3 linked regions of the Arabidopsis thaliana genome follow. The protein of the gene in region 3 interacts with the protein of the main gene of each other region in a pairwise test. Each region holds a gene or a part of one and is shown on either strand. Other genes may lie near its edges. The genes, in order: EXO70E2, EXO70A1 and SEC6.

What was found.
Region 1: the proteins of SEC6 (region 3) and EXO70E2 interact in a protein complementation assay, tested with the Arabidopsis thaliana proteins (one study listed by BioGRID).
Region 2: the proteins of SEC6 (region 3) and EXO70A1 interact in binary tests that used the Arabidopsis thaliana proteins (3 or more experiments, as listed by UniProt).

Annotation. Positions count from the first base shown.
Region 1 is NC_003076.8:24,551,786-24,555,540, forward strand, and holds the start of EXO70E2 (exocyst subunit exo70 family protein E2), read left to right. Parts: upstream 1-1,958; 5' UTR 1,959-2,826; coding exon 2,827-3,755. Other genes in the region: RPA70D (Replication factor-A protein 1-like protein), read right to left, coding at 3-230, 336-482, 729-856. UniProt on the Arabidopsis thaliana protein: Influences the subcellular localization patterns of other exocyst complex proteins (e.g. SEC5A, SEC15A, SEC15B and EXO84B) leading to their recruitment to exocyst, well-defined large punctate structures throughout the cytosol.
Region 2 is NC_003076.8:887,479-891,233, forward strand, and holds the start of EXO70A1 (exocyst subunit exo70 family protein A1), read left to right. Parts: upstream 1-2,087; 5' UTR 2,088-2,127; coding exon 2,128-2,286; intron 2,287-2,409; coding exon 2,410-2,505; exon of another isoform or gene 2,506-2,625; coding exon 2,626-2,831; intron 2,832-3,038; coding exon 3,039-3,116; intron 3,117-3,211; coding exon 3,212-3,442; intron 3,443-3,755. UniProt on the Arabidopsis thaliana protein: Component of the exocyst complex involved in the docking of exocytic vesicles with fusion sites on the plasma membrane during regulated or polarized secretion. Involved in polarized cell growth and organ morphogenesis.
Region 3 is NC_003070.9:27,007,409-27,011,163, reverse strand, and holds the start of SEC6 (SEC6), read right to left. Parts: upstream 1,601-3,755; 5' UTR 1,290-1,600; intron 1,195-1,289; 5' UTR 1,143-1,194; coding exon 1,014-1,142; intron 821-1,013; coding exon 782-820; intron 696-781; coding exon 607-695; intron 520-606; coding exon 429-519; intron 259-428; coding exon 169-258; intron 64-168; coding exon 1-63. Other genes in the region: AT1G71810 (Protein kinase superfamily protein), read left to right, coding at 3,200-3,550, 3,645-3,689. UniProt on the Arabidopsis thaliana protein: Component of the exocyst complex involved in the docking of exocytic vesicles with fusion sites on the plasma membrane during regulated or polarized secretion. Involved in polarized cell growth and organ morphogenesis.

The sequences.
Region 1 (3,755 bases), on a different chromosome or scaffold from region 3:
ACTTTCCCCTTTGTTCACTCATTATCTGAGAAGCTGATTTGGCTACAAATTCCTGCTTCGGTTTCAATGTGATACCAGTAGAAACAACATCATTCAGAGGACTGACAGGAGAATGCTCTAGTTTCTGCTTCTTGGGCTCACGAGCCTCCTCCTCTCCGCTCTTACTGTCCAAGTTAATCTCAGAATCAAGCACAGAACCAACAGCCTCACATTTAGTCACAAGGAAATATCTGACACAGAGACAATAGAGAAACACACATGTTAGTAACTGTTGATTTCAAGAATCGAACCAGAGTGATTATCCATGTAAAGAAGAAGCAAAAGAGAAGTCTTACTTTGTAGATTTGCTTGAAATGTCGTTAACAGTGAAATCAATGAGACGAATTAGACCCAAGTTCTGGATCTTCCCAGAAATGATTTCAGGTGTGAGTGAAGCAGTAAACATTGCTTTGACTTTCGTCTTTCCGTCATTTGCACTAAATCTGTCAACCAAAATCAAAACAGATCCATCAGAACAAAATCGGTAACTAAAACCCAAAACTAGGCAATATACAAACTATTATCAACAAACCCAGATCTCTTCTATCATAGAGTCATCAAAGTCGTTGCATATCATAATCTAGCTATACAATTGTGATTGAGAGAATATAACACTGACCTAAAGCTGGAACAAGCGAGATTTAAGAAATCAAGTAAAACCCAGATCATGAAAAGCCAAGGAAACTTACGTATAGCGATTGCCGATAGGTTTAAGATCCACAACTTGAACAACGATCTCAGATCGATCGGAAGACGAATCAAAGGATGGGTTTGACAAAACGGTGGAGATGGCATCTGGGGTCACCGAAGTCTGCATCTTTCTCTCTAGATATTGAAAAATGAAACGTTTGGTTTCTCTTTAATCAGAATGGTGAAAACTAAAAGCCGTGAGATAGTGAGAAGAATGAGAGAGAGGTACGAGGGTTTTTGTAAAGGAGAGAGCTTTAAGCGGGAGCTATTAAATTCGATTAATTGTTCCCCCGCCGATTTCAATTTCTATTTTTTTGGCAAAAAACTCTTACCGCTTCTTTTCAGTATCTTTCCATTTTTTTGGCGCATTTTGTTTTGTTTGATAATGGACTTTGTATGCGAAAGAAACTGTGTTACAAAAGCCTTTCACTTCAGGCCCATAGTTTATGGTTTTGTTTTTATGTGTGGGTCTTGAATCCACCGTATCACACGTTATGATTCATAAATATCTAAAATTTATTTCCAACAAATACAATTTTTTTGTTTCTTAAAGAACACATACGATATTATTATTTCAGAAAAAGATTAAATACAAAATCCCCAGGATCAAAATCAAACACCAATTCCAGATTAAACAATATCAACAATCTTTAATGTTTTTGACTTTTTTTTTTCTCTGAATGTTTTTGACAATTGAAAAAAATAATTCTACGCATTGCGTGAGGCAAACATTTAAAATTTTAATTTATATAAAGAGAAAATTTATACTTCTTGACTTGGGAAAAAAAAACTTGCTGAGGTCCTTACTTGATATGAGCTGTCAACTACTAGTGTGAGCCGTACAAATATAATCGGACGGTTCAGATCAATACATTGCGAGCCAGTCAAACTTCAAGTATTGACTAATCAACATCAACGTTTATTACACTAATTTATTATTGTACCCCTTATTTTCCAAAAACATAATACTTTTATCCCTATTGTATCCAATAGCTCTAAAAAAATCCACCATAAAATGTGTTTAATGAAATTCGATTATCTCTGACGACAACATTATCAAAAATCAAGACAAGAGATAGAACATAAAATGTTCAAATTCGTAAAAGTAATTGAAACAAATTAAATTCATTTCGAAGTTTATTAATTACATTTTGACCCCCAAATTTAAGTTAATTAGACTTACCATCCCCATGGTTTTCGTCCCGCCATATGGGGAAGTCAATGGACGAATCAATCTCAATTAGATTCGGGGCGGCCCAAAAATTTATCATTTTCTAAACCTTTCGTAATCTACGAAATTACGGGATCGCCTTCGTTGGAATACTAATTCCATTTTTCAACTTTGTTTTTATAAATACAGTTTACGTGCACCACAACTTTTCTTCTTTCCCTTCTTCTTCCCCAATAATCTCGCTGAAACTCTCTTGCTCTTGCTTCTAAAAATCTGTTCTTTGAGACTTTGATCACACAGTTATCAAAATCATAATCTCTTCTTTCCTGGTTTTTTTTTTTTTCTTCTTCTTCTTCCCGTTTCACGGTACGTTTACTCTGTTCGATCACCGAGTGTATGATAAAATGTTTCTGTGAAATCAAATAACATATCACTTTCTAATAAACATCAAAATTTCTCCTTTTTTACAGAAACAAGAAGTTTTTTTGGGAAAGCCGTTGACTTGACTTTTTCTTTGGGGTGTTGTGTGGGAGCTTATAGTATGGTACCATAAGTGGGAGCTTATAGTTTGGGGTGTTGTGTGGGAGCTTATAGTATGAGGAAAAATGTTAGATTTGAAGAATGCTTCACTGATTTTTTACCATAAGTATGTCAACTGGATTAAGCTTAAGTAGTAATGGTTTTTACTATGTTCATGTGGGGATTTCTCTTCCTCTCTGTTTACTTCATTCCGAGATGACTTGAGATTTTTTCAAAGTATAGTTCTTGGAGTTAAGCTTACCTAGTAATCACTTTATATAACATCCCTTCGTTTACATTTGTGCTTTCACCTGGAAACACTTTAGACTTTTCTCTCTTCTGCCGTGTGTATTTAGTTGTCTAGTCAAATTTAAGTTGAGTTTAGGCTCTAGTCTTTGGTTTTGGTTATGGCAGAGTTTGATTCCAAGGTTCCTGTTTCCGGAATGAACAATCATGTCTTTGAGGCATGTCACCATGTTGTTAAGGCACTGAGGGCATCTGATAACAACCTGGATGCCAATTTGAGAAAGCTCCTAAGTGACCTAGAGATGCATTTGTCAACATTTGGGATTGCTGATACCAAAGTTGAAGATGCAGGATTCTCTGAGATCAAGAAGAGATTCAAAGAAGCTGTGAAGAGAATCCGCAGTTGGGAGACAAACCAGTCGACGATGTTTGAAGCTGGTCTGTCTGAAGCTGATCAGTTCTTTCAAGCCCTGTATGACGTTCAAACAGTTCTTGTGGGTTTCAAAGCTTTGCCCATGAAAACTAACCAGATGGAGAAAGATGTTTACAACCAAGCTACGGTTGCTCTTGACATCGCGATGTTGAGGCTTGAGAAAGAGCTCTGTGATGTTCTGCATCAGCACAAACGGCATGTACAGCCTGATTACTTGGCTGTTAGTTCCCGTAGAAAAGATATTGTGTACGACGAGTCCTTTGTCTCCCTAGATGATGAAGTTATTGTCGAAGCTTCTTCACATGAAGATGATGAACAGATATCGGACTTTTATAATTCTGATTTGGTTGATCCCATCGTACTTCCTCACATCAAAGCTATTGCAAACGCCATGTTTGCTTGCGAGTATGATCAACCATTCTGTGAAGCTTTCATCGGCGTTCAAAGAGAAGCTCTGGAGGAGTATATGGTTACTCTCGAAATGGAAAGATTCAGCTGCGTTGATGTTCTCAGAATGGACTGGGAGGATTTGAATGGTGCAATGAGAAAATGGACAAAGGTTGTTAAGATCATTACTCAGGTCTATCTCGCCAGTGAAAAACAGCTATGTGATCAGATTTTGGGAGACTTTGAGTCAATTTCTACAGCTTGCTTCAT
Region 2 (3,755 bases), on a different chromosome or scaffold from region 3:
CTTTGCTTTCTTCTCTCCGACACTTTGCTTCACTCAAACGTCTCTGTTTTGGTTTCCAGGTTCTTTTGTCGACGTGTGTGTGTAGCGTTTTGGAATCGCGGCTGCGGTTGCCATATCTATTAACCACTGCGGTTGGAGACTAACCGTTTTCGTGGGCTACCAATTGAAACGATTTGATTTTGTCAGTTAGTTTGTTAAAGCGTTTTAAATTAGCGATTGTAAAAAGGGAATGAGCATTATTTTTGGACAGACTAATTTAAACAGTCTAAAAAATTAGACGATTCATTGAACCGCTTAGAAAAAGTGGTTGGAATTCATTATTATTTTTAAATTTTAATGTGTCTATACTTTCATGAATTTTGTTTTTTATATCTATAAAACAATTTATGATATGTCACTAGCTTACTATACATATTTTTTTAGTCATTAACATCATTTCTCATTGCTTTAGGCTATATTGTATTCTCTACAATATAAATTGAAATAAGGAAAAAAAAAACTTACAATGACTAAATTTTAGTCACCAATGGAACTAATTATTTTGTAAGAAGGTTGAAAACTACTTTTTTTTTTTTCTAGAAGAGTCGGCGAACAGTGATGGTTAAATGAATTATGGGAGCCATGTTTGGCCTTCGTCTGCTGTCAGCCAAGCCCCTGCGAAACCCCACCCCTGGCCTGTGCAAAAGTTTACGCGCGCATTCTGAGAACGTGCTTTCCACGCTCCGATTAAGACGTCACTAAGAGTCAAAGCACTTTGATTTTCTCTTCTTTTCTCACAAAACACTTTCTTTTTTTATATACAGTATGATTTTTTTTTTTGTCGTCATTTTTTTTTATTTATTTATTTAATATGCCTCTTATGGTAAAACATATTTCAAGAAGGTTTATGTTTCTATAAACTAAAAGTTATCAACGGCAGATGAATAAATATGGAACTAATTTTCTCTCTAAATATCCAAAAATATGAGAATGTTGTCCATGGTTTTGGGAACAGAATGAGTGACGGAAAAGCCATGAAAAGAAAAGGTATCTTAGGAATATCATCTTCCTTTTGCTCGCCTAACCTTTTTTTATTGTTCTTCTCTTTTTGAATTTAAAATATTTTTCTGCTCTCTAGTAAACATTTAAACCATCGTAATAAATTGAGAATAAAGTGTGTGTATGTTTGTGTGTGTGAATGTTCGGTGTGATTTCAATTTATTGGAGGATAGAACTGTTGTGTCGAAATTGACACACCAAGGTGCCAAGTTGAGTACAAAATAAAGATCCTCTAGAGGCTACATCTTCGTCTAACAATCCTCATAAGTCTTCTTCTTCTTCTTTTTTTTTTAGTTTTCAACACACTAATGTCAAGTGTTTTGTTCATTTCTTTTTAGTTATAATATGTCTCTTGAGAAAATGTTGATATTTAGTTTGTTGTTGAGCCATTTATTTTCTGAGACAAATTTGGTCGTTAATGGATAATATTCTTAGAGATAGATCTACAGTACTGTGACTTTTGTGTAAAAACAAATTTGTAGCCGTATTTAATGGGCTATTTCGTATTTGGACAATAGCCTTTTATTTTGTGGGCCATGATATGTCAACACTGCTCAATGCTTATAAATGTTGTCGACATTTAACGAACGATATAACACCAAAAACTTCGAGTTTGTAAAGAAAAATTATGAGAGGATTACATTATGGTTAGCATATCTGACTATAATAAATTGAAAAATTACATTACTGGTTGATGGAAAGACAAATTTTTATTGAAGTGTACTTATTTCTTTAATTTTATTGGAATATAATATTCGATATGTGTTATTATGGTTAGCGTCTGCATATATTAATTTACGATTACATTATTGGTTAATGGAAATACAAAATTTTATTGAACCTTAATTATTTCTATAATTCTGTTATAAAAATATTTAAAACAGAGGTCAATATTTTTAAGAGAATGTTCAACAATCTGGTTAAGTAAGGGGAAAGAAAAAGCTTAGCTGGCTTTGAACCGGCTCGGCATTCCTCTGTCACCCACCAAACCAAACCGAGTCATCCTTCGTCGTCTCTCTTTCTTTTTCTTCAACTTCCATTTTTCGAAAGGCGACGAGAAAAAGTATTTCTCCAGTTTTGGAATTCGCCATGGCTGTTGATAGCAGAATGGATCTGCTAAGCGAAAGAGCTGTGTTGATGAGAGCATCTCTTCAAAAGAGTCAAACCATCACCGATAATGTTGTTTCTATCCTCGGCTCCTTCGATAGTCGTCTGTCTGCTCTTGAAACCGCCATGCGTCCTACTCAGGTGTGGTTTAGAGTGCTCCGATCATCTTCTCTGATTGTTTTCTAATCCAGATCTGGTATTATAGCTCTATGGAGTTTTGCTGACTTGATCGGATTTTGGTTTGACTGTGTTTTGAAATCTCAGATTAGGACTCATGCTATAAGGAAAGCTCATGAGAATATTGATAGGACTCTTAAGGCTGCTGAAGTTATTTTGTCTCAATTCGATCTCCTCCGTCAGGTTTGTTTTACAAATCTTGCTTCTGATTTTACTAACATGGATCGGTATAAATAGATAGAATTGATAATGATCTACATTGAGAATAGATAGTCTTTGATTATGCTCTCAATTCAATTCTAGGCAGAGACTAAAGTACTCAAGGGGCCACATGAGGACCTGGAAAGTTATCTGGATGCAATTGCTCAACTCAGAAAGATTATTCGTTATTTTATGAGCAACAAAAGCTTTAAGAGTAGTGATGGAGTTCTCAACCACGCAAATAGTTTGCTTGCTAAAGCACAGTCAAAGCTGGAGGAAGAGTTTAAGCAGTTGCTAGCTTCTTACAGGTTTGTGCTTCTGCGCCTGATAAGAGTTTAAGAAGCTACATGATTTCAAACTTGATGCTCTTGCTATAACTATGACTCATACCTTGTAACTTCAGGGAACAAAGCTATTGTGGATTTTTAGCTACTTTTTCTAGTTAGTATTTTTTTGGGAACTGGTCTTCGCTCTATGATGGTCTTACTTCTTTAGTTATCTTTCAAATAACCTAGAATACTTAGAATGACCTTTTATCTAAATTATCGGAGTTGTCACCTGACAAAGATTTTTTTTTGTGAAATCAAACACTTGTCAATATACAAGTTTCCTATGATACGAGTGTTCCAGACAACTGGTTTTAGATGGAAGAATGCTAAGGCCAACTCTTTTTTTTTGTTATAATCAGTAAAGCGGTGGAGCCTGATCGCCTATTTGATGGCCTTCCCAACTCACTGAGACCATCCTCAGACGGGGATGGAGGTGGAAAACCCCACGGAGGACATCACAATGATGACGCGGAAACTGCTGCTTATACACTTCCAATCCTCATTCCGTCACGGGTGTTGCCACTTTTGCATGACTTGGCACAGCAAATGGTTCAGGCTGGTCACCAACAACAGTTGCTACAAATTTATAGGTGAACTATTGATTCTTGGTCATTCATCCTGTATGTCGTACAGTTCATTTTCAAATCAGGCTCTTAGCTTAAATTTTCAACTAATAATTGTAGCATGAGTCAAAGTACTGAGTCAAGGTATAGTTTCTTTGAACGATTGCGGGTATACAATTAACTTACATATAATTCTCACCAGTCACCGCTCATTTACAAAGTAGTTTTTCCATGGTTTCTGCAAGTTGTGAGTTTATATTTGACTATCCTTCTGCTGTTTCACTAGTAAAGCTAAAGAGAAATGTTTTTGAAATATGAATTTCTATTGACACTCATCAAA
Region 3 (3,755 bases):
CCCAACCTCCTCTCCAGCAGCTGCTAATGCAAATCTTCGTTTACCATCAAGTGCTGTTAATCTCTATGGAAGAAAAACAGAATATTATGTCTTACACCAAACGTTCTTTTTTTCAAAGTGATGCAGTCAGAAATGCCTGGAATCCATGGGAAGAGGAACTCATGCTACCTCATAAGTGTTAACGATTTCTTTATCATCACTCAAAGAATCCCTAGCCGCAGCAGCTTCAACAGAAATTGACATCATACCTTCTACATCCTTGAAAAAAGAGAATGAGGTAAAAATAAGTTGACAAAAACTTGGAAAGCATTTAAACATCTGAGACGACCATGCAGAGCTATATATATTTGCGTTCAAGAATAAGTTAGAAGGACAACACTGAACCAAATACTGTAAGCAATACAATCAGTGCTCATCGGCATATCTACCTTTAGAGTTTTGTTTAGATTATTCCTGGCGTTACTCAGCAGCTTTATTTGGTCATGATTGTCAATCAAAGTTTGACATTCCTGACAAAGCCTGTGGCACAAGAAGAGAAGTTAGAGGGAGAGAAATGCAAAAGTTGGTAACTCAGCTTCAAGAATCTCTAGTCAAGCAAAAACATACTTGTCGATAGAAATGAAATTATCCCGCAGTTCATAAATGGTTTTCTCAGATGATGAAAGTGACTCTAACCCAGCTTGAGCTTGTTCAACCTGAAGTTTGTCAACAGCTATTACTTAAGAACAACAAAAAAGTCGAAATACATTAAAGTACAAAGAAGGCCAGATTAAAGCTGTACCTGCTCAGCAACCATAGTACTGAGCTGTGCATCATTTGCCTGATTGAAACAGCAAGCATCACTAGTCAGGTCATTAAAAATTTCCAGAAAATCGAAAATAAAAGATAACAATAGCATATCAAAACCTAACAACTCAAATCTAGCATTGCTCAGGAATCACTAATACTCAGTGCAAATGATACTTCAAAAGCCAATTCAGTTCCAATTGCAATTCAAAAGCAAGATGTCAAACCTGTTGACGAGCGATGTAATCGGCCTTGATTGAAGAAATAGACTGCAAAAGTTCAGGTAAGGGTAAGAGCTTCGCCACTTCTCGCACAGCCGCTTCCTTCGCTTCCACACCAAGATCTTCGACCATCATCTTCGCTAAATCACCTTATTTACGAACTCCGATCCTAAATTGAAGGCTACCTCTGCAAAGTTATTCAAAATTCCAGCACAATTACGATAACGCAGAGGAGAATCAAGAGATCTGGAAACAGAAACGTAGAGGAAAAATGGACGCAACCGAATAAGAAGTCATTGAGCAAATATCGAGAGCCAAATGTGCGATTCTCCAACTTCAATTACTTCGTCGTCCTCTTATCTTCTTCCTTCGCTGATTCTGAAGATCCTGGAAACAGTGATGTTGGACGCAGATCAGCTGGGAAGAGAAGCAACGATTAAATTTCTGGAACGAGTCTCATCTATCGTCTCGCGACTCTAATGGAAAGTTCGGAAACGCTGAAATTTTCCGTCTCGCCGGTTTTGATTTTTCTTTTTCTTTTTTGCCAGCTGTTGATGCAAACCTATTTTTTTTTTTTTTTTTTTTGCAAACGCTAACGCTAATTCGTTGAGCAAAACGCAAATCTTAACCCCATGCTCGGGTTCGTGTTATTTTTTATTTTTTGTTATATGTTTAATCATTTGAAATGTCACTAAAATATCATCGATTTTAAATCTTACCATAACGTATCGAATTCGAAAATATTAGTCGTAGGGGTCTGATTGGTTATCTAGCGATGTTACATACGTTTGATATTAATGGGGTTGCATATGTTTTGATAAGTTTATAATTTGACGACATGCTTTGCAAAACTTGGATGTGATATATTAGTTGTGATATCATCAAAGTTTTGCACATAACGTAGTACATGTAATATATAAGAAATAAATCGATGAGATGGATGGAATATTGAACTCGACGAAAAAGAAAAACAAAGCCTAAGAAAATGACAGCTTCCAAGTACAAACTATTTGAAAAGAAATTTGTAAAATCTCATAAATATCAATAGAATAGAGTTACAATATTTTGAAACAAATAATTATTCATCTAGAGTCCGTTTAGCGTAGAGGATAAACGGACGCACAATTTTCGACAATACATTTATATAAATATAATCAGTAGCAAAATGATAATAGTTAGGCATTAGAGTCACTAGGTAGTCTAGGTTCACAACATGGACATACCATGCGACGTAGGTAATGGCCATACAAGCACGAAGCAAGAGCTACCATAAGGACGCCCGATACCACGCCGATGTATTCTGTCAAATGATACATGTCCATCTTCTTGTTCACCACACCACCAATCTCTAATCTTTCTTAACCTTTTTTTTCGTGTACTGATTATATTTATATACATGTATCGTCGACACTAACTTTACATTTTTGTAAATATATCAGCAACATTTGGTAAGTTTACATTTTTTCATTAAGAACATACTAGAGAAAATTCGAAAGTTTACATTTAGGAAAAAATCGAAAATATATTATGTTCGAATTCTTTCTAAAATACTCCACAAACTGATATTATGATATTTACTAATTACTACTACTAGTAAAAATATATTTTAAGATATGTGTATTTCATTATTCAGCTTGTTTCAGATTTTGATGGTTTACATAAAAAGAAGAGTCATTGGTATCTAAAAGGAATAAGATCTACAGAGTTATATATCAATTACCAAATATGTGGATGTGATATATTCTTTATCTCTTTTATATATACACTAAATTTCTTTTTCTTCAAAGGAAGCATCCAAGGACAGATAAATAAACAGACAATCTACAAACTTTTTCATATGTTTTTCTTAAGTTTTAAACGTAATTATTATGAATAGTTTGGAATGATACAGTTTTAGTCACTAACCAAAAAATATGATTAGTAGCTAAATAAAGTACATTTATATGACATATAAATACTTAAAAAACGTACAAAAAGATTGGTGCCATTTGTGTGACACAGAAAATCCCAGCAAATGTCGAGAGAGAGAGAAAGTATAAAGAATGTGACCGGCAAAAAAGAGATAAAACAGTAGAGAACCATATTATTTGCCATTTCTTAGAAGAATCCACTGCATGATATTCAAAATCTCACCAACAACCATTGGCGAAGAAGAAAAGAAAAAGAAGATAACTCTGTAGATTTTGAAAGAGATGCTTCGGCTTCCTTCTTCTATGCCAATCGTTTCTTTTCCCGCCAATCCCAATCTGCTGATTAATCCACAACCATCTTGGCCGTCGCGAAGAGGAAACTCCGCCGTTGTTGTCTCCGCTGCGTCTAGAGATGTAGATAGTTTCACTAGTAAATCCGGTTATTTGTTCAGTCTCAGTGCCGATGAGGCTGATTCTTTGTCGGAGTACAATTTTCCCAGGATTGATGGGATGTATAAGAAGAAACCTCTGATTCTGCTTCGTAGATTAGCTCAGATCGGAACTACGTTTAGTTATTGGTTTGGGCTTCGCTTAGCTGATGAGGCTTTGGAACGCTCTGATCAAATGTTCAAGGTCTTTTTTCCAATTTCGTGATTTGCTCTTCAATGATAATGATGATTTTGTGTTCTCATGCTTCGTTTTCGATTTCACGAATTGGTATCATTAGGTACGAGCAGCGGAGCTTAGGAAATTGCTTGTGGAGCTAGGTCCGGTATGGTTATCTCTCACGTGTTCTTTGAGATTTCATCATCAGTCCATCAATTTGCTCAATGCTAGT